Lonchura striata: one gene and its partners. The protein of the gene in region 2 purifies or fractionates together with the protein of the main gene of each other region. This does not show direct contact. Links are inferred from orthologs where the notes say so. Each region holds a gene or a part of one and is shown on either strand. Other genes may lie near its edges. The genes, in order: PLEKHA7, cadherin-1 and CTNNA1.

Region 1 (10,437 bases), on a different chromosome or scaffold from region 2:
AGACAGGAATTTCAGCAGGGCAGAAGAAACCTGTTAATTAAATTTATTAATGAGATTATAAAACAATCTTCTCAGATAATCAAAAAAACTGAACTCAATAATCCAGCTGGTCTCTTCCCCTTTGGGTTTCTGTGATTAAATAATCATTAAGTGGGTATCATCTGCAGCCCACTGTGGGTGAATCTGAGCTCCTGTATGGTTTTCAGTGACATTGCACCTGAACCTACACACCTGGCACAGCAGAAACAAAGTTAAAAAGGCAGACTTCTGTATAGTGTTCTTTGCTCTTTTGCTATTTCCAAACACTTGAAACACATACCATGCATATTTCCTACACACAGTACAGGCTAAATACAAGAATTAAGTGAGAGTTGTAAACAGTTACTGACTATTGCTATGCCAATTTCACAGGCTTGTTTCTTGTACATCCACTTTGTTTCCCAAAGAAGAGGCCAAGTTGAAGTGGAAACTGACTTCAGAAACTAATAAAATGTTAACTTCAGATATTTAAGTGCTGGTTTCTACTTTTTTTGCTCCTAATTCTAGGCCACAGTTTGAATGCATGATTGCATTTCATCTGTGCAATATCATGGCAGCTTTCAAAAAGAACCTCTGTAGCAGCAGTACACATTTGTAACATATTTAAATACAAGCCAGCTAGCTATCTAACACTGCAAGAACAGATCCTTCCACACCAACAGCCACCTCAACCTTTGAAAGCTGTAGGAAGGGAATAAAAAAGCATTCCACACTTTCCAAGCTTTCCAACTTCCCCAAGTCTTTTGGACAATCAGAAAAAGAGAAGCAAACGTAAAGAAAAACCTGCACTGTAATTAATGCATACATGCACTGCTTTACCACCATCATTGCCCTCCCTGCATGGCCCATCTCCTTCCCCACAAGGAGTTTGCCAACCACAATTAACATTTCACATCAGCAACCCAACCACCAGAAACAAACCAGAGCCAGTGTTCATTCAGCTCCACATGTGCTCAGCAACAACCTTTCTGCAGGGACTCTCCCATAAAGCACTTGCCCCACAAACACAAGGTATTTCAAAAACATCATTAAACAAACAAAAAAAGAGATGGAAAAGTGTGGTGCAAGCTGTATTCAGCACTCCAAAAATGTAGCAACCATGATATTTTCAAAGACTACTACATGGAGATCCAGAAGAATTGATTTATACATCACTTATTTAATGTTTTATTTAGTGATTTTAGGATAAGAGACAGCACTGCCCTAACAGGGTTTGCCACTATCAAGAAAACCTGAGGAATATTTGGAACAGAGAAAATAATTTACAAAGATAAGGATAAGCATAAATGGGAAGAACTGAAATGTAGCTTCCTAAATTACGGTTCTTAAAATTTAAAGCAGTAAAGAAAAAGAAAGACCTGCATGTTTCAGTCAATTGGCAGCATTCGCATGTGCTGCCAGTGTGGGCGTCTTCCCTAAATAGGCAAGCAACATAAAATGCAGAAAACTGAGAAATTTTTGAAGCCAAGAAAGGACTTTTGTTGTTTGAGAGCCTCACAAAAGCTCACTCCAGCAGAGGACTCTGTTCACTCACATGCAACAAAGATGACTTCGTATTGCAAGAGGTGCAGAGAAGAACTAGAGGACAACCAAACAGACAGAGAGCCCTTCTTAAAGGGCTGCACAAAGAACTTGGCTCACTCAGCTGAGCAAAATAAGGCTAAGAGGGAATGTGATTTCAGACAAGCATCTCATGCAAATAACCAAAGGGAAAACAGCACCCCTTCAACTACAGGACAGCTGCCCAACCACAGAACAGCAAAAAACATTCTAAACCACAGCACGTTCATTTGGAAAGCTTCTATCCAATAGAAGTGGAGTTTTGGAAATTTTCAAACTCCTGTTACATGGAAAGGGGAGAAAAACTTACCTGGTTTTGATATGCAGCTTGACCATATTATAAACCTTTGTTTCATTCTGTGATGTTTCAGATCTTTGTTTTATTTTATGATGTTTCAAGTTTGTCCATAGTATTGAAAGAAGCAATAAAGACACAGAAGTAAATGGACATAAGACTAGTTAAGTTTGGTTTTTTTTTTACATAAGAGACAACTCACATCCAAAGTTTTACCTAATATTTTCATGACCTTTATACCAGAAATCAGTTACGTAAGTGGAGTTAGCCTATATATATTTAAATGTTTGATTGAAGTTATTTAAAACAGCAATAATACTTAGTAATAATACTTTTCATTTCATTAGTGAAAGAATAAGACTTACAAGATCCATCAAGTGGCCAGTGTGGTAAAACTACAATAGGCTATATTAATTGTGGAAATTACCACAAAGGGGAGGGGTTACTTGGAATGTTCCTCCTGACACCCTTCAGTATATTAGTATCCAAGGAGTAACAATGTGTTTGTCAAATTTCTGTAGACAGCACCAGACTGGAACTGTCACCAGTACAAAGAGGACTGGGTAGTTATCCAGGAAAGTTCATGGTTTTTGAGAGCTGGAATGCCAGAAAATGGAATTTAATAGAGCAGCATGTGAAATCATGCGTTTAGGGACCAGTAACCTTTTCTGTAAGCTGAGAACTCATCACGTGGAAGCAACACAGGAGGAATGAACAGAGCAGTGAGGTATAGAAATCATCATCTAAGGACACTGATGTTTACATGAGCCCAACAAGAGCTCAGTATGCTCATGGTAGAAAAAATGAAAAATTCCATTGGGCTCAGGAGCCTCTGAGCTGAAATCAGAGAGGTCAGAGCAGTGCTGGGTGAAGTATCACTGCTGAAGAATTAAATATTGCATTCCATATCAGGAGGATCTTGGGTCTCAAGCAGTTCAACTGAACAGATTTATGTTAAAACATTGTTTTGTCTCCTCACAAAACTGCTTGGCTAAAGATGATTGAGTTTATTAAACTGCTCAGTAAAATACACACTCCATTCCTCATTTCATTTCCTGCAGCAGTTCCAGCCCAAGGTAAAGTGCACTATTAGCACAAGTTATGAAAATGCATTACACAGAACTCTTAATTCAATGGATCACGAATTAAAAGTTTTATAAGTGCCTGACAAACAAGAGATGGTGTTCCAAACACAGCAGTTGGGAAGAGGAATTTAAGCCGTTCTAAAATTGCACTAGTAAGTTTCTGGAAAAGAGAGAAAAACAAATAGATGTATTCCTACACCTAGAAGTTTACCCATGTAAAGGATCTGTTTACAGTACATTCACAGACTGGACATTTTAGAATTCCATCTCTGGCCTGTGCAACCAGCAGAACTTTATTCCTTCTTTTCAGTGCTCTAGCCATAGATAAAGGGTGGCAGCTCCAAGTGTTATTGAGCTGCTCTCCAGTGCTTTGCTACCACCTCCTCAAGAGTCAAGGGCTAAACTAAGTGCCCAGCCCAGTACTGCAAGGAATTCTCTGGCTCAGACAAATGAAGATTGAATGCCTTTTTTCTCCTCTGCAGGTGAAAAAAGGACATTTTATAATCATGTGGAATTTTATTTAACAAACATCCTACATGTGAGGCATTTGTTACACCTTCAGTCAATTGCTTCTTCACCGAGCCCAGTATGGTTTGGAAGTTTGATATTTACTAAAACCTCAAGTTACTCAAATGCCTTGCTCTGCAGGCATTTCGATACTGGACAACTGAGACACTGCTGTCAGCAGTTATTGGGGCTATACTTAACAGCCTGGGAGTTCTGCACCGGAGCAATGAGATAGTCTGAGCATTTCCCAGTCCCGTTCCGTTAAATTTGTCAGGCATTCGGCTTTGCAAAGGGAAACGCCAAGGCATCACACGTGACTCCACATGCAAAACGTACCAAAGTTTTACTCATTTGATTGAATCTCTACTTTTACATCGGCGTTTGTTTTTGCAAAAGCCTTATATCTGCAATGTTTGAAAGAAGCTCTCTTAGCTCTCTTTGCTGCAACACGCTTGCATCTCAGAATAAAAGCGTCTCAATAAGCAGCACATCCCTGCTCGTAATTGCTCTCCGAACAAGAAACGCCACATGAAAGATCCCGACATCCACCACCAGCCCTGGCAAGGCAACTTCATCCGTTCAGCCCCGTCTCCGGGAAGAGACACTGGACGCCTTTCACTTGCAAAACTTCCCGGGGCTGCGTCCGCAGCCACGAGCCATTTAAAACAACGAAACCACCATTCACCTTCCACCTCGGCCGGCGCTCAGCAAGGCGACGCTCCACCTGCCGCAAACCTCACCGTAAATAGCGGGGAGAGGGGGGAGCAGCCAGCCCGCAAACAAACACACGCAAAAAAAAAAACCCCGAACAAACAGGCAAAACTGAAGTGCCGCCTCCAAGGAAACCTGTTGCTGACCACCGCCAGAGCGCGGCCGGGGGGAGCCGCATCCCGCCGCGCCCGGAGCCAACTTCGCCGCTGGCACGGCGCAGCCCGGTGCCGCTGTGGCCGGCGTGGATCACGATGGAGCCGGCGACGTGCGGGGTCGGAGCGGGGGCGGCCGGGCTGAGCCGGGGCCGGGCTGAGCCGGGGCCGCGCCGCCAGCGCCCCCCGGCCCTGGGCGGGCGGCGCGGGGCCGGGAGCCGGTACTCACTCGATGAAGTAGCTGGCGCCCTCCTCCGAGAAGCCCTCCTCCCATCCGCGGGGCAGGTCTGCAAGGCACGGGGGACGGGGAAAGAGAGAGAGAGCGGGAAGGAGGGGTGAGAACTTCGCCCGCGGAGGCTCCCGGCCGCGGCGGGGGCGCCGCGCCGCGGGCACCCACCTGAGCGGATCATGTGGCCGGAGTTGACGGGCTCGCCGGTGCGCGGATGCAGCCAAGTGGTGCGGCGGGCCAGGTCGCTGCGAGGGAGAAGCGGGAAACGTGCACCTGTTAGTGAGGGCGGCGGCGGGGCCGCGCCGCCCCCCGCGCCCCTCCCGCGGCTCCCCCTTACTCGATGAAGAAGACGCGCCCGTCCCTGCAGACGCCGTAGGACCAGTGCTCAGGTAGAGTGTCCCGCCCCACCGCCGCCGCCATGTTCGCCGCGCGCGCGGCCGGCCGGGCGGGGGTGCGGGCGGGCGGGCGGCCGGCGCTCGGCGCCCAGCGCCCGGCTCTGCTCGGCAGCGCCACCGCGGCGCGGGCGGGGGGCGGCACCTCCCGCCCCTCGGGGGCCCGCGGCGCTGCCCGGCTTTGTCCGCCGCTGCCCCGCGCCCGCCCCCCGGCCCCGCCCGGGCTGGCGGGGCGCAGCGGCTTCCCGTGGGCACCGCCGCGGGCGGGAGCCGCGCATCCCCGCAGCGCGCTCCGCCCGGCGGAGGCACCGGGACTGTCCCGCGCCCCGCTCCCGCAGCCCTGCGGATGTACAGGTGTGAGCGCACCTGGCTGCCGCCGTGCCCCGGGGACGCGCTCGCCAGCGGCGCCAGGTGAGGAGGGACAGACGGGCCGCGGGGACTTTGAACCGCGGGGGCACCGAGGTTAAAACATCGCACGGAGGCAGCAGCAGCAGCCGGCCGGCAAAGCAGAGCGGTCGCCGGCATCGGGAGGGACCTGTGCCAGCCCCTGTGTTCGTCCCTGAGCTGGAGGAGGCAGGAGGGTAACTTCAGTGGGGCTGGGCTGGCTCCCTGTCAGACCAGAACCCTTCCTGGTGCTGGTGTGGTGAGCGGGGATGCTCCAGCTAGAGTTAAGTGCTCCAGTCACTCAGAATGTGGCTTAGGGACAAAGTGGGTGGGACAAGCAAGGAGTGAGTGGTGTGCCCTACAGCAGAGCCCGTAGGTTTCCTACTCTCATCCTAGCGCCAGGCAGCAGAGCGAGGATGGGTGCCAGGTGCGGAGTCCTGGCCAGTGCCCTGGCTTGGCGGTAGCGCTAGTTGCAGCAGGATTGACAGAGCCAAGGGGTTCAGGGAGCAGAAATGCCTCTTTCAATCAGGGCAGCAGTGGTGGAGCCAAGCATGGCTCTGTAGGGCTCTTGATGTTCTGATACTGGGGAAGAGAGAGGGTCAAAAAGGCAGGAAATGGGACATCTGCAGGCTTGGCGTGAAAGGAGAGTGTTAAACGGGAAAGACAGGTTGCGAAAAGGGGTGGGAAAGGGTAGGTGAGTCTGACTAGGGTCAGGTTAGTGAAGAAAAACAGAGGAGACAACTGAGGACACGGCTGTGGGGGAGAGGGAGAACGCCAGCATGCAGTAGGAGAGTGTAAGAGGGCAGAGTGCTGCAGTACAGGGAAAATGATAACGTTTGCTTTTCCTTCTAAATAACCAAAATAAATCATCAGAAGAAAGTAGGAGGCGAGAAAAGCAGCATTAGACAGGAGAGAGAGGATTTTGCTTTATTTCACGCCAGTTTCAGACAACATTGCAGGTCTGGTGCATCAGGATAGCTTTGTGTAGACTTCCCTTTTTGACCACTGTTGGAGAAGATACTATTCTGTATATATACAGTAAATATACAAACTGTACAGTGACAGCTAATAACCAGGAATGGTCATTAACAATCCACAGAATTTTAGTTTATCCACAGTTATAAAGCAGGAGAGAGTATCTTGTAGCCCTTTATCCTAAGTCAGAATTTTGATTAAAACTTCTAATACTAAAACTCCCGTGCTGCCTTTATTTTTTTAACCTTATTGGGTTTCCATGGCAAAGTCTGGGGGGGAGGAGGGAGGCAGGCTGCAGGAGTGGCTTCTGTCAGAAGCTGCCAGAAGCTTCCCTTACATCCAACAGAGGCAATGCCATCCAGCTCCAGGATGGACTCAGTGTTGGCCAGTGTATTGGATAAGGGATTTAAAAAGGGAGAAAAGTTAGCAGGAAGGGGGAATAGGGCCAGAGAATGAGTGAGAAGATGTGAGAGGAACAGCCCTGCAGGCACCAGGGTCAGTGCAGAAGGATGCACAGGAGCCGAGATTCCCCTGCAGCCCATGGTGAGGCAGCTGTGCCCCTGCAGCCCGTGGAGGACCACGGGGATGCACAGATCCACCTGCAGCCCGTGGAGGACTCCACTCCAAAGCCTGAGGGAGGCTGTGACCCCCTGGGAAGCCTGTGCTGGAGCCTGCGGCCCCAGGGACAGAGGAGCCTGTGGTGGAGGACGATTGCTGGCAGGGGCCGTGACCCCTGGGGGGACCCACGCTGGAGCAGCCTGTTCCTGAAGGAAGGAGCACACCCCGTGGAAGGGACCCACACAGGAGCAGCACATGCACAGCTGCAGCCCATGGGAAGGGACTTAGTTGGAGAAGTTGATGGAGAACTGTCTTCCAGGGGAGGAGGAGGAGGAGTGGCAGAGGCAACATGTGATGAACTGACCACAGCCTCCATTCCCCATCAGTGGTACTGAGAATGAGGAATAAAATTGGAAGAATGGGGGGTAGAGGAAGATGTTTTTAAGATTTGATTTTATTTCTCAATATACTATTCTGCTTAGATGGGTAATAAACTAAATTAATTTCCCCCAGCTGTGTCTCTTTTGCGTGTGACAGTAACTGGTGAGGGATCTCCCACAAGCCTGTGATTATAATTTCTCTCCCCTATTTGAGCAGGGGGAATAACAGAGTGGCTTTGGTGAGCACCTGATGTCAGTGTCAACCCACCACACAAGCCCTAACAATTCTGAGTCATTCTGGTCAGGTGTGAGTTATCACATACCTTGCAATAAAGTCAGTCCCTGTGCAATTCCAAAGTCAAATACAAGTTACTTAGTGTCACTGCATGTTTAGGTCTGTGCAGAAGAGATTAAGACCAGCTCTTGCTCTGGAGTCCCTCATTGCCATGATGCTCTGAAGCAAGTCTGTGCTCCATCAGCTGCATCAACTCATTGCATTTAGCTTGTAACTCCATCTTGACAAAATAGGCTTGTCTACCTCAAATGAATAGTAACTTCATTGACAAAACATTATTGTGGTTTGGATTTCAGCTCCTAAAGGTATCTGTACTGGGTCAAGCTAAATGTCTGTTTAGCCTAGTATTCTGTCTCATGTCCCAACAGGAGCAGGTGCCAGGAAAGAGTGCAGGAGCCAGGCAGTCATAGGCAACTGCCCAGCTTCTTTCCTTAGCTCCAGTACCTACATCCAGTGCTTGCCTGCAGAAGCTGTGAGCTCAGAAAGATCTTGCTCAAGGTGTTATTACCATGTGTAACTCTTAATGGATCTTTTCTGTGAACCTGTCCAGACTAGAGGCCACACAACTTCTGTCACCCAGCAGCAGCAAAGTGTTCCTAATGCTCACCTTACCTGAGCTTACCCGAGTGAAAAATCACCTTCTTTTTTTTTGTTGTGAACCCAGACCCCATTTCATTGATTTTCTTCCATTCTTGCAATGAAAGAGACTGGGGTTACCAGTGCAGCCTCCTGCAGTGTCAGCATTGATTTTAGACCAGGTGACCCAGGCCTTTGTCCAGGTAAGGATGTGAAAATTCTCCAAGGACAGAAATTCAACATAATCTCTTAGCAACTAGTTCCCTTGTGCCCGTGGTGAAAATACTTTCACCATATCAAGCTAGAAACTCCCTGTTTCAATTTGTCACCATTGTCATATGACCAAATCTGGAGTTGATGCATCATGGTGCCTAAGGCATTAGCACATTATCACATACTCTTGCAAATTGCAGAGAAATGCATTACTGGAAAAGCACATTTTCTTACTGTAATTTGCAGAGCTCTATTCCAAAATTAAGATCAAGATGAAAACTTAGTCTAGATTCATAAAAGTTCACAAGCTGACTTGTGTTGGCCTCATCAGGATGTAGGTTTGTGATTTAAAACCTTGGAGGAAGAATGCCTCCAGGCATCATTACCAGATTCTTCTGGTTCTTCTGTTATTTTTTTTGTTTTGTTTTGTTTTCAGGCTCTAGTTCCAGTCTTCTCTGGCTGATATCAGACATTTTTCTATTATCTATCATTCATTACACTCTAGAGGCACTGTCTGGAAGAAACTATTTGGGGTAAAATTAGGACTTTAAGGCCACAATATCAGGAACTCAGCTAAAGAAAGTGAATTATGTTCTTCAACAGGGGTCTAATAAAACCTAGGATATTTGTGGCTCCTTTTGTTGATAACTGGGTAATTCAAGGAGACATCATGAGGTCCCTGAATACTGGAAGTTTGAACCCACATTTGACAGCTCTATAGGAATGTGTCACTAATGTTACTTGCTCTGTCTGCATCCTCTGGGAACACTTTTTTGCTGACTTCATTAAATTGGGAGAGCAGTGATACATTTTAAAGTACACCAAAATCTGTATCTGCACTTTCATTGAAACAGAGAATCACAGAATGGTTTGGGTTGGAAGGGGATCTTAAATATCACCTCATTCCAAGTCCTCTGGGGGACAGGGACACCTCCCACTATCCCAGGCTGCTCAGAGCCCATCCAGCCTGGCCTTGAACACTGCCAGGGATGGGGCACCCACAGCTTCTCTGGGCAACCTGTGCCAGGGCCTCACCACCCTCACCATAAAGAATTTAGTCCTAATTTATATTCTAAACTTGTTCTCTTTCAGTATAAAACCATTGCCCTTTTCCTACCACTACATGCCCTTGCTATTTCCAGAATAAACTCCATGAATATGGACATCCTTTCTACCTCATCCCTTTCTTTTCAACCCTTCCCCTGACAACCCAGCTTCACCCTGGCAGTGGCAACATCTGAGTACTCTCATTTCCTCTTTTATTCCACTTCCATTACACACACCCCCACCCCCTGCACCATCAGGTCTACATGTTTCCCTGCATTTTTTCAACCCTCCATATGCTATAACTTTTCAGCAAAACATTGAGTAGGAACCTGCAAATATTGCTAGAGATACTATATGGGAATCACAAAAAAAAAAGGTATCATTTCCTTCACTCACAATTAGATCCAGTGACTAGAAGGTTAGAGAATCACAGCTGGATTTCAGCATGGTGTGTACTCTAATGATCTATTTCCTATTTTTCAGAGAATTCAATACAATTGAATCTGATCATCTTAGAGGGCAAAAGCTGCTGCTATTTCAGGAAGCTCAAATGAGGTACAATGCATAGGAAAGCCTGCTAGTTATGACTTTTTCATCATGAGCTGTATATTTTATAAAGCATAAGCACGACTTATAAAAGGTGTGAGGCCAGACAGAGGCAGAGCATTGGAAGAGTAATGAATCTGAATTATTAAATCCTGGTTAAGAAAGCTTATAAGCCATAATGCAAATAATGTATTATGCCCTTTAGCTGCAAAACATGTATTATGCCTTTTAGCATGATTTTCCAGCTCTGCTTGGAACAGCTGAGAATTAAAATTATGAAAGGTTTCATGGTGAGACAGATTAATTTGCAAGACAATTTCAGAGCAGTTCATTGTCTGATTATACTGAAATATAGGCTGTGCAACCACATTGTTCTTCAGGATTGTGCAGCGTGATTCCCTTTTAGCAGTGGTAAGTGCTTAAGACACCAGAAATTAATATACTGATTCTTAGAGGTAGAAGAATGTATTAATCAGACAATAGGGGAAATAGG
Region 2 (10,729 bases):
GGCACTGCTTGCTCTCAGGGCTCTGTGTGGCCCCAGCTGAGTCCCCACGTACCCGGCTTTGCATTCTCCTCAATGTAGCCAACAAAGACTTGCTGGGTGAAGACGGGCCGGTTGTCGTTCTGGTCAGTGACGGTGATGATGATCTCCATGGGGTCTTCCACGGGCTGCCCGTTGGCCGACACGGCGTGGGAGTAGAGCTGCAAGGGCACAGTCAGTGTGTGTGCAGTCCCCAGGGCTGTTCCCGTCCCGCCACAGATGCCCCCTCACTCACCACGTATTTATCCTTCTCCTCCCGGTCCAGGGGTTTTGTCACCTCCAGCCACCCCGTCTCCCGCTCGATGATGAAGACACCCGCGGGGATGGTATCCGCTCCCTGCCCCGTGATGCTGTAGAAAACCTTGGTCTCCTTGTCCTTGTTGGATTTGATCTGGCAGCAGGGCAGGAAGAGGGGGGTGGAGACATGTCCCAGCACTCTGGGGACACCCCTGCACCCTGCCTGGTTCTTGTGGGGACACATACCTGCACCAGCTTCTTGGGGAAGGGCCCCCGCTCATTCTCAGGGCAGTTGATGGGGGGGATGACCCAATCCCTCTTGTGCCGCCGGAGGCCGTGTCCGTGCTCCGGGAAGATCAGCGTGTCCGGCACTGTGTCCTGTTGGGACAGTGGCTCTGCTCAGTGCCCTCTGCAGCTGAGCCCTCTGCACCAGAGACGGGAGCTGCTGTGACCCAGGGAGTGGGTCTGTGCTTTACCTGCTGCACCCGCTCGTGGTGTCGGTGCTGGTGCCACCGCTGGCGCAGGGTCACCTTGGCTGAATGCTTCTTGCCCATGGTGTCCCAGGTGTGCACAGCAAAGGTGATCTCCCGCTGCTGGAGCTGCAGGGGCCGGGTGGCAGAGACAATGCCATCCCTGCTCACCTTGAAGCGCGTGTCATCCGGGAGGAAGGCGGCACGGCGTGGCTCGCCACAGTCCACAAAGTTCACTGGGGACAAGGGACTGAGTGGCAGAGGGTTCTGGGGACATGGGCACACACAGCACAGCCCCACTTCAGCAGCCTGGGGTGTGGGGTCACAGCAGTGGTAGGGATGCTCCACACACAGTGACAGATGCCCTGCCAGGATTTCATCCTGGGTACAACACACAGTGCATCCTTGCTCTGGTCTTGGTCCAGGATGGGACATGGCAGGACCTACTGTGCCAGAGGACCCCTGCCGGACAGTGACAGTGGAGCAAGTGGCACCTGGCACAGCATGTCCCAGTCCCCAGCACCATATATGGCATGGCACCAGGCACAGCACATCCCCATATGGGTGTATCCCCGTGGCACAGCATGTCCCCAGGCATAGCATGTCACCACCACTGTGCCCATGCTGCTCCAGCTGCTTTTTCAATAAAAACAAGGGCAGCAGCCATCCACCTGCACTGGCACCAGTGTCCTGGCAGTCAGGCCCCTCAGCCTGCCCAGGTAGCTCTGGGACCCCCAATCTCAGGTTCAGCGGGCAGGCGGGGCCCGATGTCACTAGCTGGGCACCCGGCTGGGCGCGGCAGAGCTGGGCCGCCACGAGGCAGCGGTCAGCGGGCATCACATGAGCCGGGCCGCGCTCCCGAACAAACAGCCTTTGTCTGGGAGAGGGTTGTGCGAGCCAGCGGCACCCAGGCCCCGGAGCCAGCCCTGGCACCGCCGCCCCGGCTGACCCGCGCCCCGGCAGGGGCCGTGCCGGGGTGGGCAAGGAGGCACCGCCGGACGGAGGGAAGGGAACGGAGCCGTGGGTTACATCAGCCCACGAGCAGCCCAGGAATGCGGGCTGGCTGCGGGATGCAAGGGGGTACGATCGCTGCCCCCCTGCCCACCACGGTGCCCCCGAGCCGGCCCGGGAGGAGCCGCCGGTGCGATGCCAGCCCCGCGGCAGGACCCCCGGGCAGGGCGGGCGGAGCCGGTGCGGCCGGCTGGGCAGGAGCGTGCCGGGGCAGGCGGGGAAGGAGAGGCAGCCGCGGGCGCAGCCCCAGCGCTCGGCCTGGCTCGGGGCCCGGTGGGTGCAGGAGGGGCGGCACGGGGCCCCCAGCCCCACACTGCGTGCAGTGAGCGCTCAGTGCTCAGCTCGCACTGGCTTCCAGGAGGGTGCTCAGAACCCGCTCCCCCCTTCCCGCTCTCCCCCTCCAACTCCCCCCCTTCCCACCTGGCTGTGCACAACCTGTTTTTCCAGCTCGGCTGAAGGAGGGCTGGCCCCAGCCCTCCTCTCCCCGGGGCTGCGAGCTGGGGGGGTGGAAGGGGGGCCCTCTCCTGGGAATGATGGGGGTGGGAGAAAAGAAGAACTCAAGAGAGTCCTTCAGGGGGATCCCCCCACTTCAAGGGGGATCCCCCCCCCACTACCATCTACAGAACACTGGGACAACCAGACTGGTACAACCAGGCTGCCAAACTGGGTGTGGGGCTGAGACCCCACACAGGGGATCAGGGCAGGCCCCCAAAGCCACCTCATGTCCTGTGAGGTCTCAGTGGGACTGGGCACAGGCAGAGCAGGGTGTCCCCATCCATCCCTGCAGTGCCACCACCCCGTGTGTTGCACACATGCAGCTGTACAGGGCAGGGGGCTCACCCCAGGGTGAAGGTGCTGCGGGTGACACATCCCACTGACGTCACCCCAGTTTCGCTGTGACTTCAGACTCTCGAGGTTTCTCCACCCAGGATTGAGGGGCACTATCCCAGCCCCCACCACATGCCCACCACCCCAGAGCCCCCCGACCCACGGAGCAGGGCCCTGGCGGTGCCGCAGCCCCCACGCAGGTGTTGCTGTTCGCCGCCCAGGCGCCGCGTGGGGCTTGTCTGGGCCTGTTGGAGGGAAAACACAGTTCTCAACTCATCAAGCTAATTACAGGCCGGATCGTCAGCCTGGCTGCAAGCTTTGGGGTGCTCCATGGCCCAGCACGGCCTGGCATCCACCAGGCTCAGCCACCCCACAGGTGGCATTACTGTGGCACAGCTGTGAATCACTGGGTGCCACACAGGCCTCAAGGGCAGACGGTCCCTTCCTTCCTCCCACGCCCTGACTGTGCCCGGAACCCAAAGCTGAAAGTGCTGGTGCTGGGACAGAGGATTTCCAGCAGGTCTCGGTGCTGCAGGGAAGTCACAGGGCTGCCCGTCACCCCCCCCCCTCGTATCAGGCCCAGCCCTGATGGACATCAACTTGTGCACGTTAATGATCAACCACAAGGCAAACAAACACAATTCCTGGGGTATGGGGCAGGGTCCAATTCCTGGCTCTCCCAGGCGAAGCCATTACAGAGCTGAGGATGTTTGGGAGCCTGGGTGCAGCACTGGGTGCTCATTACCCCTCAGCCCTTTGCCCACCTGGCCACCCTGGCACACACACTGCAGTGCCAGCACCAGTCTCAGCCACGAACTGGTGCAGATGGTGACAACCACTGCACACAGCCCCAGAGCCCACGGAGTCTCTTTTGGGGGTCCCAGAGTGGCAGCAGATCCCCAGCACATGAGTCCCCAGTGCCCCCTTGCCATGCCAGAACAGGGCATTAATGCCAACACAGTGGGACACCAACATCCCCAAAAGCCCAGGAGCCCATCCTGGTGCCCATCCCCATGCCAAGAGCTGGCCTGGCGGCCTACACAGTGGGTCCAAAGCGGGGCTCACCATGGTGAACCCCGGGTGCCAGGCGAGGCACGGGGCAGGGCAGGCGCCTGCGTGCCCCACACCCCAGGCTGCCGGCCCCGACAGGTCTGCGGTGCCTGAGTCAGCGCCGCCCGCGCCGGCGCGCCCCGGGGAGCGGCTGCCGCGGCCCCCGCGCCACGGCACCGTCCCGCCGTGCCAGGACCCCCGACGGCTGCCTGCGCTGGGACCAGCAGTGTGGCCCCTCCGCTGCGTGTGGACACACCAGGCTCTGTCCCCCATGCCACCTGCCACCGCAGCGAGCCTGTCCCCACCGTCATGGCACTGTCCCCGCTGCCACAGCCCTGTCCCCACGGCCCCATCCCCGTGGCCGCGCCAGCACCACTCGGGCACGGAGACACGGCTTTATGTCCCCCACTGGCCGTCCCTGTCCCACACACCCCCCTGTACCCATAGTCCCGTCCTCATCCCACAGCCACCCTGTCCCCACACCCGGTTGTCCCCGTGTCCTTACCCCGTCCCAGTGCCCGTCCCGCCGCCACGCCGTCCCGCGGCACCGTCAGGGTGAAGGTCTCGGCGGCGAAGCCGGGCTGGCACGACGCTGCTCGCTGGCACAGCCGCTGCCCGCTCTGCCCGGAGAGATTCGTTAGCACCGGGCAGGGTCCCGAGCAAGGTCCCGCTGCCCCGGGCAGGGTCTCGGCGGGGTCCTAGGCGGGGTCCTGCCGCCCCATTCCGTGGCTCACCTGGAGCAGGAGCAAGAGGAGGCAGAGAGGGACGGAGCAGCCCGCCCGCCGCCCCATAGCCGGTGCCGGTTGGTGCCGGAGGGATCGGGCGCTGCCGCCGCGGAGTCGCAGGTGCGTCCGGTCCCCTCCCGATCCCTCCTCGCAGGTGTCGGCCCCGCCGAGAACCGCCCCGTCCCGCCCCGACGGGAGGCGGTCCCTCCCCGCCCGCACCCCCGTATTCCCGGTACCTATGACGCCCGGTACCCGGGAACCCCCCACGGTACCGGTGCGGTTCTCTCCCACGGTCCCCGGTACCGTGGTACCCCCAGTACCCCACCAGCCCCCGGTACCCTCTACACGCCTGGTGCTCTGCCCGTCCCAGGTACCCGCTGTTCCTCGAGCCTCTGATATTCCCAGCCCCAGCCACACAGCTCTCGTGCTTTCCATGCCTCTCCCGTCCAGGGTAGTGGGAGCAGGGGGTGTTGGTGGGTGACAGGAGCCAGGAGTACCCCAGGGTGCCCCCATGCCACGGCCCCAGATCCCAGCTCTGCAGCAGGGGACAAACATCGTACCCAGGGACCCCTCGGGCAGGAAGGGCCCCTCAGGATGCTGCAGTCCCTGACTTCCCCTATACCCCTCCATCCCCAAAGCTGGGGAAGGGGACCCCCATCCTGTGTCAGGACCTGATCCTGGAGCCAGTGGGAGACCCTCAGAGCTTAGGGTCCTGCCAAGGCCAGAGGCTGCTGTGCCCACCCATGCTAGCACCCATGGTCATCTCAGGGGGTTGGGGTAGCAGCAGGGCTGTGTCTGCCCAGGCCAGGAGAGATTTAGCACCAGCAATGCCCAATGCCACCAGTGTCACTCCCATGGACAGATTGGCAGTCAGTGCACTGCCCATACCCATCAACACCCCCTGGGGACGAAGACACCCCAGGACGGGGGGCACGGGCACTGGCCCTGCATGGCCAGTGATGCATGACGCTGCAGCTGTGCCAGAGGTTCCACACTGCAGTGGGCAAGGGAGGACAGGGCTGGAGCGGGGTCATTGCTGGGCTAGGGGCAGCACCGACCTCCAGGGCACAAAGTGACACAGACCCTGAAACATCTAAAAAAACCAAATCCTTTATTAAAACTGACCCGGCTCCCATCCCCTTGTCTGCAGCATCACACGCCATCATTCCATACCTTAAAAAATAGATAATAACCACAAAAATGCAGGCGAGGAGGTGAGGGGGCTGCGCTGGGGTGGGGAGGGGGCACGGCAGGGGGAACCCCCAAGGCACAGAAGCAGCAATAAGGCGGGGGCAGAGGCAGGCTGGGGGTCCCTAATCGTCCTCCTCGCCGCCGCCGTAGAGCTCGGCCAGCTTGCGGAAGCGGCCGCCCCAGTCGTTGAGGTAGTCGTAGTCCTGGTCGCCGTCGGAGGCGGAGGAGTTGAGGGAGCTGAGCGAGGTGGCCTCCGAGCCGCTGCCCTCGTAGTCGAACACCAGCAGCGAGTCGTAGGGGGGGGCCGTGGGGTCCGTGTCGGCCGCCTTCAGGTTCTGGGGGAACAGAGGGCTCAGCACCTGTGTCCCCTGCGCCGGTGAGGCAGGGACGTGTCACCCCCGAGGCTCCCGGGGCAGGACTCACCTCGTCGATGAAGTTCCCGATCTCGTCGGGGTTGGCGGGGCGAGGCCGGTACTGGGGGGCCGCCATGAGCGGGGGGGCCACATCATTGCGGATCACCTCGGGCCGGGCGTCCAGCCCCCGGTGCAGCTGCCGCAGGTCATAGTTCTGGGGACACACACACATGGAGAGGGGCACAGTCAGGTTGCTCACGCTGTCACCAGGTCCCTGACCCCCACACCCACCTGGTCCTCCTCGCCGCCACCTTCCTCCCCGTAGTAGAAGATGTTGTCCCTTGTGTCATCTTCAGGCAGCAGCAGCGGCTCCTTTGTCACCTTCCTCCTCCTCATGAAGAGCAGCAGCAGCAGCAGGATGACTGAGGGGCAGAGTGCCATCAGGAGGGACATGTGTCCCCCTCTGTGCCCAGAGCTGGGGTATCCCCGCAGCCCCAGGAGCCCCAGGATCTCCACTCACGCAGCAGGGCCAGCAGCGCGCCCAGGGTGGCGAGGACGAAGGGCAGGGCGGTGACAGGCTGGGACCTCTGGGGACAGCCCTGTGCCTGCCCCTCACAGGCGCAGACCCGTGCGGTGACAATGGTCACTTGGGCTCTGCCCGGCTGGTCCAGCAGCCGCAGGTACACACTGTAGGTGTCTGGCTCCAGCGGTGCCACCAGCTGCAGTGTCACTGTGTCACCTGCGTGGGATTGGGGGCTCACGGACAACGCACCAGGAATGCGGCCGTGGCACAGCTGCCTCTGCCGAGGACCCCCACAGTATGTTCAGCCCCCCTGCAATACCTGTGTCCCCCACCTCCACAGCCCAGCTGTCCCCCGAGCCGTGGGTGAGCTCGGCGCGGAAGGGGCCGGTGTTGGGGGGCAGGTCCCGGTCGGTGACGGTGAGGAGCTGGGGCTGGGGACTGCGCTGGCAGACTGTGATGTCCCGTGGCTCCGCCTCGGGGCCGTTGTCGTTCACATCGAGCAGGGTGAGGAGTAGCGTGCCCGTGCCCGTGGCCGGTGGTGAGCCTGGTGGGGACAGTTCTGGAGGGGGGATCCCAAACCCAGGGCTCTCATGGGGACATGGGTGACTAAGCAGGCATGGGGACAGGAGGAGCCTCAAAACCAAGGCTTTCCCAGGGACAGAGCCGCTGTGGGCAAGGGTGGGAACAGCAAGGAGTGATGCTGGAAGGGGCAGTCCCAAACCCAGGATCCTCAGGGAGCTGGGGTTCCCCGGGCAGGGTGGGGCCAGGCTGGAGTTGGGATGTGTTTCCTGGTGATGGCAGCACGTGTTCCTCACGCGGGAGGGGGAACAAGGGCCCTTTCATGTCCCTCACCATCATCCACGGCCAGCAGCACAGCTATGTAGGTGCTGTTCTTGACGAAGGGGGACTCGCGGTCCAGGTGGTCCCGTGCGGTCACCAGGCCATTCTCAGGGTGCACGGCCAGCCAGCCCGCCGGGTCGTGCCCCACCAGGTACCTGGGGGGCACAGGGAGCTGGTGCTAGGGCGAGGGGCAGCAGAGATCCCCCAAACCTCCACTCCAACCCTGTTCCCGCTCACTTGATCGTCTGGCCCTGTGCCTTGTCAGGGTCCTGGGCCATGCAGGCTGTGAGGGTCTGCCCCGGGGGCACATCCTCTGACACCGTGGCCAGCTGCACGGGTGGCACGAACTCCGGGGCCTCATTGACATCCTCTACAGTGACAGTCACCGTAGCAGTGGCCATCGGCAGCTTCACGACGAAGGGGACCTCGTTGGCCACTGCCACGTGGAGCACGAACTGCTGCTTGGCCTCATAGTCCAGACCCTGGCAGAGGGGGAGACACCGGCAGTGACAGTGGGACAGGCAGGACTCTCCGTGGGCAGCATGGGGGACATGGGATGACAAAGACCTTGGCAGTGCGGAGGATGCCCTCGTTGGTGGCGGGATCGGTGGTGATGGCAAAGGCACCCCCGTCGTTGCCGCGCAGGATGGAGTAGACGGCTCGCCACGCCGGCGTGCCGGGCTCGTCCAGGTCGGTGACAGCCAGCCGGGCCACCTCCTGCCCGGCCGCGTTCTCCGGCACGGCCGCCTCGTACTGCAGGTGAGGGGCATCATCAGCACCACGGCCCAGCGGGCACCAGGAGAATCACACCAGTGGGGGTGCCCACATTACCATTTTGGGGTCAAACTCGGGGGCATTGTCATTGACGTCGGCGATCTCGATGACAGCCAGCGCTGTGGTGGTCAGTCCCTCACCATCCAGGTCAGCTGCCTGCACGGTCAGTGTGTACTCCCGCACACGCTGTGGTGGACAGACAGACAGACAGACAGACAGACACTGTGTCAGTCCCTGCTTGGGGCTGGGACCCTGCCCCACAGTGCTGCAGAGCCCACCTCCCGGTCGAGGCCGCTGGCAATCACGCTGAGGGTGCCAGTGGCCCGGTTGACAGTGAACATTTGGGGATGGGGCTCCCGTGGCTCCTGGCTGAGGATGGAGTAGGCAATGACACCATTGTAGGTCTCCACTGCATCGTCCGCATCCGTGGCTGTCACCTGCATGATGGAGGTGCCTGGGGATGTGGGTGTGCAGGTAAGTGGGATGCTGGGGGGCACAGTGCCGAGGCTGTGCCCAAGGAATACGGCTGGTGGGATGCAGAGCTTCCCCAAGGCCCGGGGTCCTACCTGGCAGAGCTCCCTCTGGCACAGAGCCCCTGAACACCTCCTGTGTGAACTGGGGCTTGTTGTCATTCTGGTCCGTCACTGTCACGATGATCTCCATCGGCTCCTCCACGGGCTTCCCGTTCTCAGACACGGCGTGGGAGAAGAGCTGCGGGGTGGGGTGTGAGTGGGGGGCCTGGCACAGCACCCCAACATCCCTCTGGTGTCCCCAGGCAAGGACCTACGTGGTACTTGTCGATGTGCTCGCGGTCCAGCGGCTGCGTTACTTTCATCCAGCCCGACTCCTTCTCAATGGTGAAGATGCCCTCGGGAGGGGCGTCCGCTCCCTGCCCGGTGATGCTGTAGAAGATCTTGGTGTCTCTGTCCCTGTTGGATTTGATCTGGGAGGAGACACAGACCAAGGGGCTGAGGTCAGAATCCCCCACCCCACCACACCCTGCTCGATGCAGCGGGGATGCACCCCCAGCACCCACCCCCATGCCCAGACTGCCCAGTGTCGTACCTGAACCAGCTTTTTGGGGAAGGGGCCCCTCTCATTTTCAGGAACCTTGATGGGGGGGATCACCCAATCCCTCTTCTGCCTCCTGAGAACAGCGCGAGCCCCGGGCAGCTCCTGTGGGATGGGGGTGAGTGAGGGCACAGCCGGCTGGGGGAGCAGGGGGTGGGGGATATGCGGTGCAGCGTTACCTGGGGGGAGCGCCTGCTCTCTGCGGGAACTGGGCCAGGGTCTGGCTGGCCAGCGGCATATCGGGGAGAACCAGCATCTCGGGGGGGTACGGCGAGCGCCCTGCCCAGCCCCGGTAGCCGCACGGGGCCCCCGTCCTCCCGCACCCCGACATCGGGCTCCTCCGTCCTGTACGGCCCCGCGCAGCCTCCGGAGCTCCCTGCGAGGGTGAGGGGTCAGGGGGGTGGGGGGAACTTCTCCCCCGACACCCCCGAGCCGCAACCACCAGCTCCAGGACCCTGCAATCCCCCAGAGTGCCGAGGCGGAGTGAGCCAGGGGACGGTAGAAGAGGGGAAGAGGACACCGGGAGCGGGGCAGGGAACACCGGGCGCCGTACGGGAGCGCAGTGGAAGTTTCGGTGGAAGTTTCGGCTTTGTTTCACAGATGATGGGAAATTCCTGCGCGGGCAGAGCCCTGCCCCAGCCCCCTCCCGGTGTGTCACCCCCTCGGGGCTCCCAACCCCCCGTGGCCAGATCGTTGGGCACTGAATCTCCCTCCCCCGCCTCCCACGCTGCATCCCTCGTGCCGGACACAGCCCCGGCTCCGCACCCCCCGGGGGAAGGATTAGGGGATTAGCGGAGCTGAGCCAGCTCCGGGCGGCCGAGCGGCCCGGGGGGGCTGCGGAAGGTGTGGAATGGGGCAGGGAGAGCTGTGCCCCACGGCTGCTCCACACCGGAGGGACCGAGCCCGAGGGCGACGGTGGGGCCGTGTGGGGAGCAGCAACCGTGCCCCGAGGGCAGCGCCGGGGCCCCTCCCAGTCGCGATGGCCGCGATAAAGAACTTTAACAGGGCTGGAGGGGCATCAGTCACCCTGGCAAGCTGGGCATTGGGAGCCCGGGGAAGCCCCCAGCCCCCGCCGTGGGGAGCCCCCAGCCCCGCTCCCAGCTGTGGCACGGCTTGCTGTTCCCTCCGAAGGGCACAGGGGGTACCCCACCATGTCCTCGGGGTCCCTCCATGGAGGGCCACAGGGCACCGCGCCCGCTGGGTGCCGAGGCGGAGCCGCTCGGTCGGTGCCGGGGCCATGTGCTGCCCACGGACGGGGGTCGCGGTGGCACGGCCAGACCCCAGCCTGTGCCCGCAGCAGGGGCCTGGCAGCGCCCACCTCCAGTCCTGGCAGGCTTAGCTGATGGAAAAGGGATGTGAAACGGGATGTGGTGTCCACAGCAGACAGAGGTCGAGGCCCCTCCCTAGCACTTACCGCCAAGGAGAGCTTTTAGTGCTCCCGCGGCCATTAGATGAGCGCTGGCTCGGGCCGCGTTCCCGGGCAGCCCCAGTCTCCCGGGAGCCGCCGAGCGAAGAGGGCAGCGGGCCCGGGCCAAGCTCCGGCAGCGGGCCAAGAGCTGGCAGCAGCAAGCCCCTGCCCAGCCTCAGGCCAGCCAGAGCCCGCACCCCACAGCCGGAGAA
Region 3 (10,529 bases), on a different chromosome or scaffold from region 2:
CGCATAGATATCACCCCTACAAGTACCCAGAATCAAGTGAATGAAAACTCTGAGCCCTTGAGGAAGTGGGAACCACAGTGGAGGGCGGAGCATGGAAAACCACACAAGCCATCAAGGCCCGATAGCATTGACCCTTACAGACTTAAATGAAAAGCCACAAATTTAGTATTTACCTAAATGCCCTCTTGGCCTTCTGCTGAACGACAGCAATGACAGAACTGTGGGGCCTACAATCTCCGCTCAGTTAACCTCCAGGTTTAAAAAAAAAAGTTTCTTCCCCTGATCCTTCAGCACTTACCCACCTACTAAGCTCATTAGTTTCAGCCTCCTCCTTAAACTAGCTATTGAAGGCTACTTTAGAACAGGGTGAACCAACAGTGCCTCTTCTACCCTAATTTGCTCCACATCAACTCCTCATTTGCTCAACATCATCTCCACACAGAAATTCTTCTTAAGCATGTACAGTCATATGCAGATCTACTCCATAATAGGGCACTGATTGCTGAGAAACTGGGTGTTCTTTGGGAAAAATAGCACACCACAAGCTGAGGATCCCACATTATGCCCAATGCAATCCTACCTGCCACACTGACACCAGCTCCCCACCTGCTTCACTCTCAAGCCCCTCACTACCAGGAGTTCAACTCGCTCTAGGGCTGTAACATCAACACTCATCTGTCCTTGTGCCACTCCATGCACTAAAACAGAGCTACCAGAGAACCACCTGGCCTCCAGCTTGGCTTCATGTGTGCTCTTCCACTCTCTGCCTTGGTAATGGTTATTCCTTTAGCTACAGCTGGCCTCATGCTTGCTTTTTCCATTCCTAGGTTTATTAGAGAATGGTTTGGCTTGGGAGGGACCTTAAAGTTCATCTCATTCCACTCCCACCATGGACAGGGACACCTTCCACTGTTCCAAGTGGCTCCAAGCTCCCATGTCCAACCTGGCCTTGGACACTTCCAGGGATCCAAGGGCAGCCACAACTGCTCTAGGCACCTTGTGCCAGGGCCTGCCCACCCTCATAGCCAAGAATTTTTCCCAATAGCCTATCTATCCTTGCCCACTGGCAGTGTGAAGCTGTTCCCCCTTGTCCTATCCCTCCATCCCTTGTCCAAAGTACCTCTCCAGCTCTCTCAGGAGTCCCTTTAGGCACTGGAAGGGGTTCTAAGGTCTCCACAGAGCCTCCTCCTCTCCAGGTGAACAATCCCAGCTGTGCCAGCCTTTCCTGCCAGCAGAGCTGCTCCATCCTCTGCTCATCCTGGAGCCTCCTCTGGCCTGGCTCCAGCAGCTCCAGCTCCTCCTGTGCTGGGACAGGGCTGGGGCAGCTCTGCAGCTGGGGGCTCACTTGAACAGGAGGTGGAGAATCCCTGCCCTTGATCTGCTGCCCACAGTGCTTCAGATAAGCCCGGGATACTGGCATTGATCCCTGAATTTAAAGCCTTTCAGAAGAGGCTCTTGGGAGTCTAACTGATTAATAACTAGCTGTCTTCTAAATTAGAGAAATTGTAACACAAGGGAACGTCAGACTGGGGGAGAATTTCACTTTGCAAACTGTGTTAGTTTAGATCTGTGTATTGAATAATTTCTATCACTTCACAAAACATGGGGAAAAAGATTACTCCTTTAATTCGACCAGAGATATTTATAATCACATATCAAAGGACTAACAGATGTTTTCTGTAGTACATCTGGGATTAACAAGCAAAAATATGTAATCATATTGAGAGAAAAGGTAGCTAGCTCTTTAAATCCATCAGTCACAAGGCATTATGAATCATATTTAAGTATCAGATAGTCTGGACTAACCTTCTGCACACCAGAAATCACAGTTACACCCATTCTCACCCTGACTAGCAGATAAGGAGTCTCAGTCACTAGAGGAGAACAATCCCACTTCCAGTTGCAGTGACCTCATTCCTCCTGCAACTCCTTCACCCCAGTAAATCCATCTGCACCCAGTTCTCCTTCGTGAAACAGCAGGCCACTCTCACAGCTTGTCTTTCCAGAGGAGCTCATCCAGTCAGGGTGCTAGCATACAATTTTGTGGTAGCTCTATTTTAAATCTCATTTTCTGGATTAAAATAGTATGGAGTTAAAAGTAGTAATTATCAAACATCTGCACTTTCTCTAAAGCTGCAATGCTGTTTAACCAACAGAGCAGCTATAAACTCACTGAATGGAGCTATTCCAGATTAGCTGTAGAACAGTTCGGGTGAATTCCCAGAGCAGTAACGGATCCCATTCCTCAAGGTCATACTCTCAACACTGAAGTTCTGCAGCACAAGCTTTTGAGTGATGTCAGTTAAGGCACAACAGCAGGAAGCCCCATCCCAGGAAGCATCCAAGGCCAGGGTAGAAGGGCTCAGAGCAGGTGCAGGGTTTCCCTGCAGGTGTCCCAGGAAGGTGCCCCTGCCCATGGCAGCAGAATGGAACCAGAGATTTAAGGTCTCTTTCAACCCAAACCAGTCTGTGACTCATCATTATGCTGAGTGACTGTCTCATAAGGTGCTGTCCTAACAAAGTGACACTCAGTCCTCTTTAATTCATCACGTTTCCTTTGGTGTCCAGCAAAGCTAAGAGAAACCAGTAAAACAGAACCCAGCAAGTCCTGAACAGAAGCACCACAGCCACGTGGGCCTTTGCTCCAGAGCAGCCCCACTGCCCACCTATGACGAGCAGGCTGGTTTGGCCACTCAGTATTTTTGTGATCTTAGCTAATTCTCTGCATAAGAAAGGTCATTTAGAAATCAAACAGTAACAGCAGATGTAAATTCAAGGCAGGCCTGAAGTCCCACAAAAGTGTATTTCCAGCTCATAAACAGTTCTGCTTAATCTGGATTCCTTTGCAAGATCAGTTTCTGTATCTTACAGCTGCAGAAAGAAGATATTCATGCTGCTGAAAAAACACAGATTACTCTTCTGTTACATCTTCCGGTTAAATTTATTAGACCAACAGAAGCCCTACGAAGAAGCCGCACCTTAAGGTCTGTCCTGACACATATCAGCACAGAAATGCTGATGTTTCAAAGCCTGAAAATCAACTGTGAGGAAAGTATTTACATTTGTATTTTAAAGCATCGATTTGAGCATGGGATTTCTAATCTCTGCCCACTGCGCTTCCCCCAGCCACCTTGTGTAAACTTTAAATCTCCGATGCAGAGGCCTATTATTAGAGCTGGCTGAAAAAAAACTGTAAAGACTGAAGGCACATTGTTTGTTATGGAAAAGGTTAGGGCAAAGCCTTTCTAAAAACAAAACCTACTAAACCTTTGTTTCTGCTGAGAAAAGTCAAAACATTTCCGTGATGTTTTAGAAATTGCTTCTTTGAAAATGATGAACAGTGACTCAACATCAAAGTATGTCCTTTCAAACAACATGTTTCGATTCAGAAGGGTGAAATAAGTACAACAACAAAACACTTAATGTGGCCTTGCTGCCCCGAGACAGAGCAAAGGCTACATCTAGCGTAAAATGAGCTGGGCTTTCACCTTCATCAACACAATCCTGCCTACAAACCAACCCAGGAACTGACATAAACAATCCCAGAACCTGGCGTAGCCAGCAGGACTGAGGAGTGTAGCCTCTCCCACCTCCCCAGACCCAGTGCAGCAAAAACACAGGAAACCATTAACTAGAGCACAAGTGACTGAAGCACCCAGAAAACACCTTCTGCACAACTCCCATCCCAAAAAAACAATAGACAAAGCCAAACGAAGGGGGAAGAGCAGCAAAGAGCTCCCAGACTAGTTCAATACAGATAGTCCAGACACGCCTGGAGTCACAACTCGGAATGCTGTGCTGAGGACGCGGTCATGGGGCTCGCAGCGATCGATGACCCTCGCCAGAAGCCACCTCCCGGGCACGGCTGGCGAGCCAAGGGCACACAGACAGGGAGCCGTGCCTTGCTCACATCTGACTCGTCACTAAACATAACTGGAACACACACTTTGCTGCAAACTTTCAGTCTGAAGGATTTTAGGCGTTTTGAACTGGCAGGAGCAATGAATAACAGGCGGGTGACCCACGCTACCCAGGGAACCCAGGGCCACAGGCAGCAGACGCAGGGGCCGCACATAACCCGGGAGCGGATGCGCTCTTCCTGCTTTTTGTCTGGGAAAAAGTAGCACGAAACTTTCTGTCAGCGAAGGAGAGGCCCACGCCCTCCAGCAGAGGAGGGGATTAGCGGTGGGTGTCAGAAAACGTGGCGGAGCCAGGTGGGGCCGCGGGGTGTTCCCGGCTGTCCGTGCACGGGATCAGCAGCACGGCCGGGGCTGGAGGAGGGCTCGATGCGGCCTCGGCCGCGCCGCCCGGGCAGACCGCGGGCCGAACGGCACGGAGCGCTGCCAGGGCTGCCGGCCGCGCCGGCCCTAGCGCAGCCGGGGAGCGGCGCCAGGGCGGCCCCGGCCGCGCGGGGAGGGGCCGGGACACCGCCCCGCCGCACCGAAACTTCGCCGGGAGCGGCCCGGCCGCGCGGCTCCCCCGGCGGAACGCGCTGGCGGCCCCCAGCACCGCGGGCCCGCCCGCTCCCACGCGGGCCCCGCCGCTCGGGGCAGCGCCGCCGCCACAGCCGGGCCCGGCTCCCTCCCCGCGCGCGGCCCGCTCCGCTCCCGCCCTCTGCCCCCCGCCCCAGCCCCGCGGCAGCACGGCCCGGCTGGCGCCCGAAAGTTTCCAAGTGCGAGAGCCGCAACTTTACCGGGGCAGAGCTGGGCTGGGATGGTGCGGCCGCCCCGGCTGCGCTCGGCCCCGCCGCTTTGTCCCGTCCCGCGGAGGAAATGGGCTCTTCCGGCGCCTCCCCGCCCGGCCCGGCCGCTCTTCCCGGCACCGCCCGCCGCGCCGCCCCCGCGCCCTGCCGGCGCCGCCCGCCCGCAGGTGAGGGACGGCGGGGCCGGGCCGGGCCGGGCCGGGCCGGGCGGGGCACGGCGGGACCCCCTCACCCCGGGCAGGACGGGGGGTCCCCTCACCCCGGGCAGGCACCTCCAAACCGCCCAGCCCTGCAGGGAGCCTGGCTCAGCTCCCTGTCCCCCTCGCCCCGTGCGCCCACGGGCAGCCTCCCTTCGCAGCCCTCCCCTGGCCGCCCCCAGCCCAGGCTCTTAGGATGGCACTTTTGAGGCAGAATCAACAAATTCGACGTCAATATCTGGCCTTGTCCTCCTAAGCGCAACTTACCGAGGGTCTTTGGAGAGAGGGGAAGTGATGGACGTAGGGGGTTTGAAGGAAACAGGGAAAGTTATGGGTTCCCCCTGGGTTTCTGTATTGGTGTTTTGTTTTGAAAAACCCAGATATTTTCACCCTCCAGAGAGCTGCTGCTTTTAGGAAACACCTTGTTTTCATCCAGATGTCTCTAATAACAAGACTACAGGTGAGAGGAAATCCCAGGGTACAAGCACGCCACAGGCACCCCTCTAAGAAGAGAGGAAGGTTTTGCAAACTTAACCTTGACCTGCAGAGGCAGGTCTGCAGGTGGAGAAAGTTGTCTTTATGTGGCAATTTGTTTTAAAGTTTTCTTTGAAAAGTCTCAGTGAGCATTTTGTGTGAGAGAGTGACAAATTACTCTGGGACTTTCTGTGGTGTGTTTTGAGATGGTTTTTGATACAAATCTCGCCACAGAATTTACACTTGTACTGGATTGTAAAGACGACTGAATAAATTGAATACATTTCATGACTCATTTGCCAGCACTTCTGCGATACCTGAAGCTACACACTCCATCCTTTGTTATTAAGCAAAAAATAGAGAGATTGAGTAACCTACAAGGAAGATTCATTCAAGGTATGTGACTGAGTGAGGGGCTGGCCCGAGGTCAGTGTCACAGCACAGGTGACCACACTGTGGTCAGGACTGTGACTTTCCTCCAGATGCTGGTTCAATGGGATTTGCAGGGCTGTGTTTCCCATCACTGCCATATTCCTACAAAACTTTCCTGCAGGAACACTCCTGTGGGGAATTAGATTGCATTTTTCCTTCCTGCAGATTTAATCCAAGAAAGAGATCCAAGACAAGGAAGTAAGTAGAGTACTGTTGTTTTATAATCCAGAAATAAAATAGGGATCAAGAGCCCAGCCTTGTCAGTGAGTGAAATTAGTCTAAAGAATGTGAGATCTGTAATTATGAAACTGACTGAGATACAGGTTATTAAAAAAAAAATACAGGTCTTCAGTGCCTCAACAAACAGACTCTCTTATGGAAATATGAGGAAAACAGATTTCTTAATTTCATTGTGTTTCCTGCTTATACCAAACCATTAATATTTGGTGTCAATTGCACCAGGGATCCAAACTACTCATTTCTGTCTGTAGCATACTCTCAGTAAAAATGGGAGTTTACACTTCAATAGCTTGCTTTCTTTCATTACTCGTTTTAATATCATGTCTTAGCCTCCTGTGGTGCCTTCCACATTCGGCAGTTCTCTGTGCCTCACATCCTTTCAGGACAAAATGTCAGATTAAAAAAAAATTCCTTTTTAAACCTACAGATTCCAAAGTAGAAGGCCTGGAGTTGTAGAGAATCACATGTTCTGCACTGCACCACTGAAAAGTCAAGGGAAAAGTAGGAGATCAGCTGGCAGCTCTGTTGGTTCATGGAGCGAGTTAAAAGGCTCAGCAAACAAAACATAAAATTATGTAAAAATAGAGCCAGCTAGCTTGAGATTGGACTTTGTCTCTTAATTAACAGCTCTCTCTGAATCACAGCACTGGGCTCTGTCAACAAGACTGAAATGCAGGGAGTGTTCAGACAGGCACCCAGCAACAGTAGCTCACACCTCCCATCCGGCCCATGTCATTGGCAGCTTGAAATCTAATGCATTTTCTGAAATGAGTTACAAGTGTTCTGCTTGGCCTCAAATCTTCCCATAACAGTGTTTGTGATTTTGTAATCCCATTTTCCTGGTGGTTTCTAAAATGTTTTTCTTGCCCTTTTTCACTGGCGAAAACGCAGGGTAAGCCAGGGGAGAGGACAGGGAGAGAGGCGAGGTGGCCACCCCGATACTGGGGGAGGTTGTTTGTGTAGAATGAACAAACGCTCCCGTCCAGTGAGGACGATCCAAGGTACCCAGAGCAGAGCGGGGCTGGCGGCTGCACACTCCTGGCAGCCTGGCCCTGTTCCTTAGGTGTGTACAAGGGCAATCCCTGGCCAGGGCCACCTGGAGATACTGTGTGGGTGTAGCCACTGCAGGGGAGCTGCATTCTCCTGTAAATCCTGGGCTGGGTCTGTGTAGGAAGGGGCTTGTTTATCTAGCAACCTGCTGGAGCTCCACTGTCTGCCAGTCTCAGTGTGTACGGGGTCTAAATGATGTGCCTCATCTGGAACTGGATTTTCTGTTTCTGTAACAATGCTGTTGAAGGGTAGTTGCTCCATTTCAAAATGTTTGTTTGGTCTCTGTGGTTTTGTGTTTGTTTTGGAGGGGTTTTTTAAGTGGTTTTGTTTAGTTATTTGCAAAAGATGGAAGCATTGCACCTCTCACGGCAGTTTCAAAGACAGGACTGCTGGAGCAGGAAGTGGTGAGGGGATTGAGAGGCATGACAGAAGGAAGGAAATAAAGTTGAGGAAAAGTAATACAGTGTTGTAATGGTAAGCTGAAGGTCCTGCTGGAGGGGCTGAATGGGCAGCAGGAACCAAGAGAGAGAGGAAAAATTCCAAATACTCTAAAGGAATCTCCAGGTTCAACTAGCAGCTGGTTGAGGCTTTCTGCACACTGATGTCATGCTGGGCCGTGGGGACAGCTCGAGGGCAGCCGTGCTGTGCCACCAGCTGTGTGACTGCCAGCAGCAGTCACCCAGTCACCGGGCACAGCCCTGTCACCTCCTGTCCCTGGGCTGCCAGCAAGGCAGGAGCAGGGCAGGGACTCGCAGCCGGTGAGCTTTGCTGTAGGAGTCACCCAAAATGCAGCCTCCCTCGAAGACTGGAGGCTCTGATGAAGTCAGGAATGTAGCAAAGGAACAATGAGGGCCTGGCACCAACTCCTGGGGGCTCTCCAGTGCTCATCTCAGTATTCCATGCAGCTGGGAGACAACACCATTTCTTTTCAGGGCTCAGACACATAAAGAGCTAAGATTGTCTTGCAGTATCCAGCTAGGAATGAGCATGTGTACAGCCAGAAACCAAATTCCAGTGTTCTGGGGCAATGCAATGGACTCTGGAAACGCTGGTATGTGGTGCTTCTGGGGAGACTGCAGGTACACAGCCTCAGCTGTGATTACAACACCTGCCTTGCTGAAATAAGCCTCAGTCAGGAGAAGAAGGGATTTACCAGTACACCTGCAGCTACACTGGGGCTCCCTGGCACTGCTGGCAGCGCAGGGATCAGACCCAGTTGATGCTGCAATGCCTCTGGGATCAGCAGTGGTTCTCTGGGAGCTGCAGCCACAGTGCTCCTGGTGCCAGGGCTGTGCTCCCCATCACTGCCACCCTCTCCAAGGAAAACTGTGTGCTAGAAACATGGCCCAGTTCCTAATCAAGAAGCCACTGGCTCCTAAGTGAAACACTCCCTTCCTACACTGTCAAATGCTCCTGGGCCCTCCAGAAAGAGAAGCAGTCTATAGCACCAGCATGGCCAGGAGCACAGGGGCTGTGGCACAGAGCCCGTGCTGCCTGCAAAAAACAGGCAGAAACTGTAATGAGGGGAAATTATGCCATCCCAAAAGGCTCAGCATGAACTGGGTTCACTGGTTGCTGTTCTTAGCCCAAGTAGTTTGCATTCACCTCCAGCTTCACACAGCCTTTGTGTAATAAACTGTCATAGCCCCGGAGAAGGGAACATTCAAAAAAGCACCCCGAGGCAATGCATAGCAGAAGCCTGAGAATCCTCCTGCATGAGTCACTGACCTCCACACACTGCATCTATTTCAGCCTTTAATTAATAATATTTTACATTTTTATGGCACTTTCCATCTGGAAAGATCCGAAAATGCTGTAAAGACTAAGGGGTGTACAGCACCATTGAAATGTGGTTCCTGTAGAGGTGGGACTGTGAGAGCTTAGCCAAGGGCACAGAGGAAAAAGGTTCTTCATGTTAAATGCAGCCTCTGTTACGTGACTGAGTATTTCATATCTGTGGAGAACAGACAAAAAGATTTTCGTTTCTAAGGCACTGCTTGAGTAAATAACACTGTCAATTGCTTTTGTAATCCAGGAGGTATGCAGTGCAGAACAAGTGCTGGGTGATTTTAATTTGGGGTGTTAAAAGGTCACAATTTAAGCTACAAATTGAAACCATCATTGGATCAAGGCTTTCCCACCTCCTGATAATTTATTCCCAAATGTTAGACACAAAGCAGAAGCCAGTGGAGTGGAAACAAACCCCAAGCTGACAGCACCTTACCCTGCATCCGGAGCACCGAACCCTCGCACATTCCCTGAAAGCTCAGCAGGATCGTGTGAGGCTTCAGCAAGGTCAAAACCAGCCCCAAGGAGCAAGTGGGGCAATGGAGAAAACCAGGAGGAAAGAGCCCTCCTGTCCCAAGGCTGACACAGCCCTCAAGGGGAGCCAGGGCTTTGCTGGACCAGCACAAATCCCTTCATTTTTATTTCTAAAGATTAAACAAGCCAAATCACTCTGCTCAGCAGATGAGCAGGGCCTGGCTTTCATGGGGGCAACCTAAAGGACTGTTAGCCACAGCTGGCATCCCTCTTTACTAAGTACTTGGCCAAAGTGAGCTGGGAGCACTTGACCACAAAGAGTTTTCAAAGGAATGTCAAATTTCTCTTTTTCTCAGTGTGATTCTAAACTATTTTTATCTGCCTCTTTCTGGAAGAGAGACACGGGCATTGCCACGACTAGCCGTAAACTTTCATTACTTCCCGAGGAGAAATTGCAGAGAAATTACAGGCTAGTGCACTCTTTTTATGTCTCCTGCTCCGGGCATGTCAGCACTGCTGCATTCCAGTCTACCCCCAACACATTCCTCCCTGCGAGTCCTGTCCCCTCCCCGCCTGCTGATGGACATTAATGACCTCCCTCGGTAATTAACACATTGAGCGCCGCTGTCAGCACGAGATGAGTCCCCAGTGCTGGAACAGCACATTCTGTATGTGCAGGGTGGGATCAGTCCCGACTGCCCCTCCACCCCAGCGTGCCCCTTGGCACCCGAGCTGCACCCGCCCCCTTTGCCCGCTGAGTGCAGGGCAGTGGGGGCACACGGAGCCTGTGGCTGCACCATTCCTGTGCTCCCCGTGGGAACACCTGAACTCGCACATGCCATGTGCAGCTCCTCACTGCTCCTCCAGGCACGCAAAGCTGTGCGGAGAAACACCCGTAATCCTTGTTTCAGCATTATGAGGTGCCGGTAGCAGATATGAATTATCCCTCTCCCATAAAGACAAACACCTACAAGTAGTTTCTATACTGTTATACGATCAGGGAGACTGAGGCAGAGCAAATGAGTGCGCCGAACCCTGCAGCTCCTGCCCCAGGCTCATCTCCCTGCCGTTCCCAGCCCCGAGTCCAAGCACTGCAGTGCGCCAGAGCTCCCTGAGCCTGGAAATCCCACACCCATGTGGCTTTTTAGGCATGGAAACTTCATCCAAAGGGA

The links.
Region 1: the proteins of cadherin-1 (region 2) and PLEKHA7 purify together in Homo sapiens (co-immunoprecipitation; 3 studies listed by BioGRID and IntAct, with this or other methods). This does not show direct contact. The link is inferred for Lonchura striata from reciprocal best matches to the Homo sapiens genes CDH1 and PLEKHA7.
Region 3: the proteins of cadherin-1 (region 2) and CTNNA1 purify together in Homo sapiens (affinity purification with western blotting; 10 studies listed by BioGRID and IntAct, with this or other methods). This does not show direct contact. The link is inferred for Lonchura striata from reciprocal best matches to the Homo sapiens genes CDH1 and CTNNA1.

What each region holds. Positions count from the first base shown.
Region 1 is NC_134608.1:49,092,211-49,102,647, reverse strand, and holds the start of PLEKHA7 (pleckstrin homology domain-containing family A member 7), read right to left. Parts: upstream 5,030-10,437; 5' UTR 4,999-5,029; coding exon 4,916-4,998; intron 4,824-4,915; coding exon 4,747-4,823; intron 4,637-4,746; coding exon 4,579-4,636; intron 1-4,578. UniProt on the Homo sapiens protein: Required for zonula adherens biogenesis and maintenance. Acts via its interaction with CAMSAP3, which anchors microtubules at their minus-ends to zonula adherens, leading to the recruitment of KIFC3 kinesin to the junctional site.
Region 2 is NC_134615.1:22,958,278-22,969,006, reverse strand, and holds the start of cadherin-1, read right to left. Parts: upstream 4,509-10,729; 5' UTR 4,424-4,508; coding exon 4,367-4,423; intron 4,253-4,366; coding exon 4,138-4,252; intron 980-4,137; coding exon 750-979; intron 652-749; coding exon 520-651; intron 428-519; coding exon 272-427; intron 198-271; coding exon 53-197; intron 1-52. Other genes in the region: B-cadherin-like, read right to left, coding at 5,671-5,883, 5,972-6,115, 6,193-6,323, 6,422-6,640, 6,744-6,968, 7,277-7,419, 7,502-7,746, 7,832-8,017 and 6 more.
Region 3 is NC_134617.1:16,847,148-16,857,676, forward strand, and holds the start of CTNNA1 (catenin alpha-1), read right to left. Parts: upstream 4,803-10,529; 5' UTR 4,694-4,802; intron 1-4,693. UniProt on the Homo sapiens protein: Associates with the cytoplasmic domain of a variety of cadherins. The association of catenins to cadherins produces a complex which is linked to the actin filament network, and which seems to be of primary importance for cadherins cell-adhesion properties.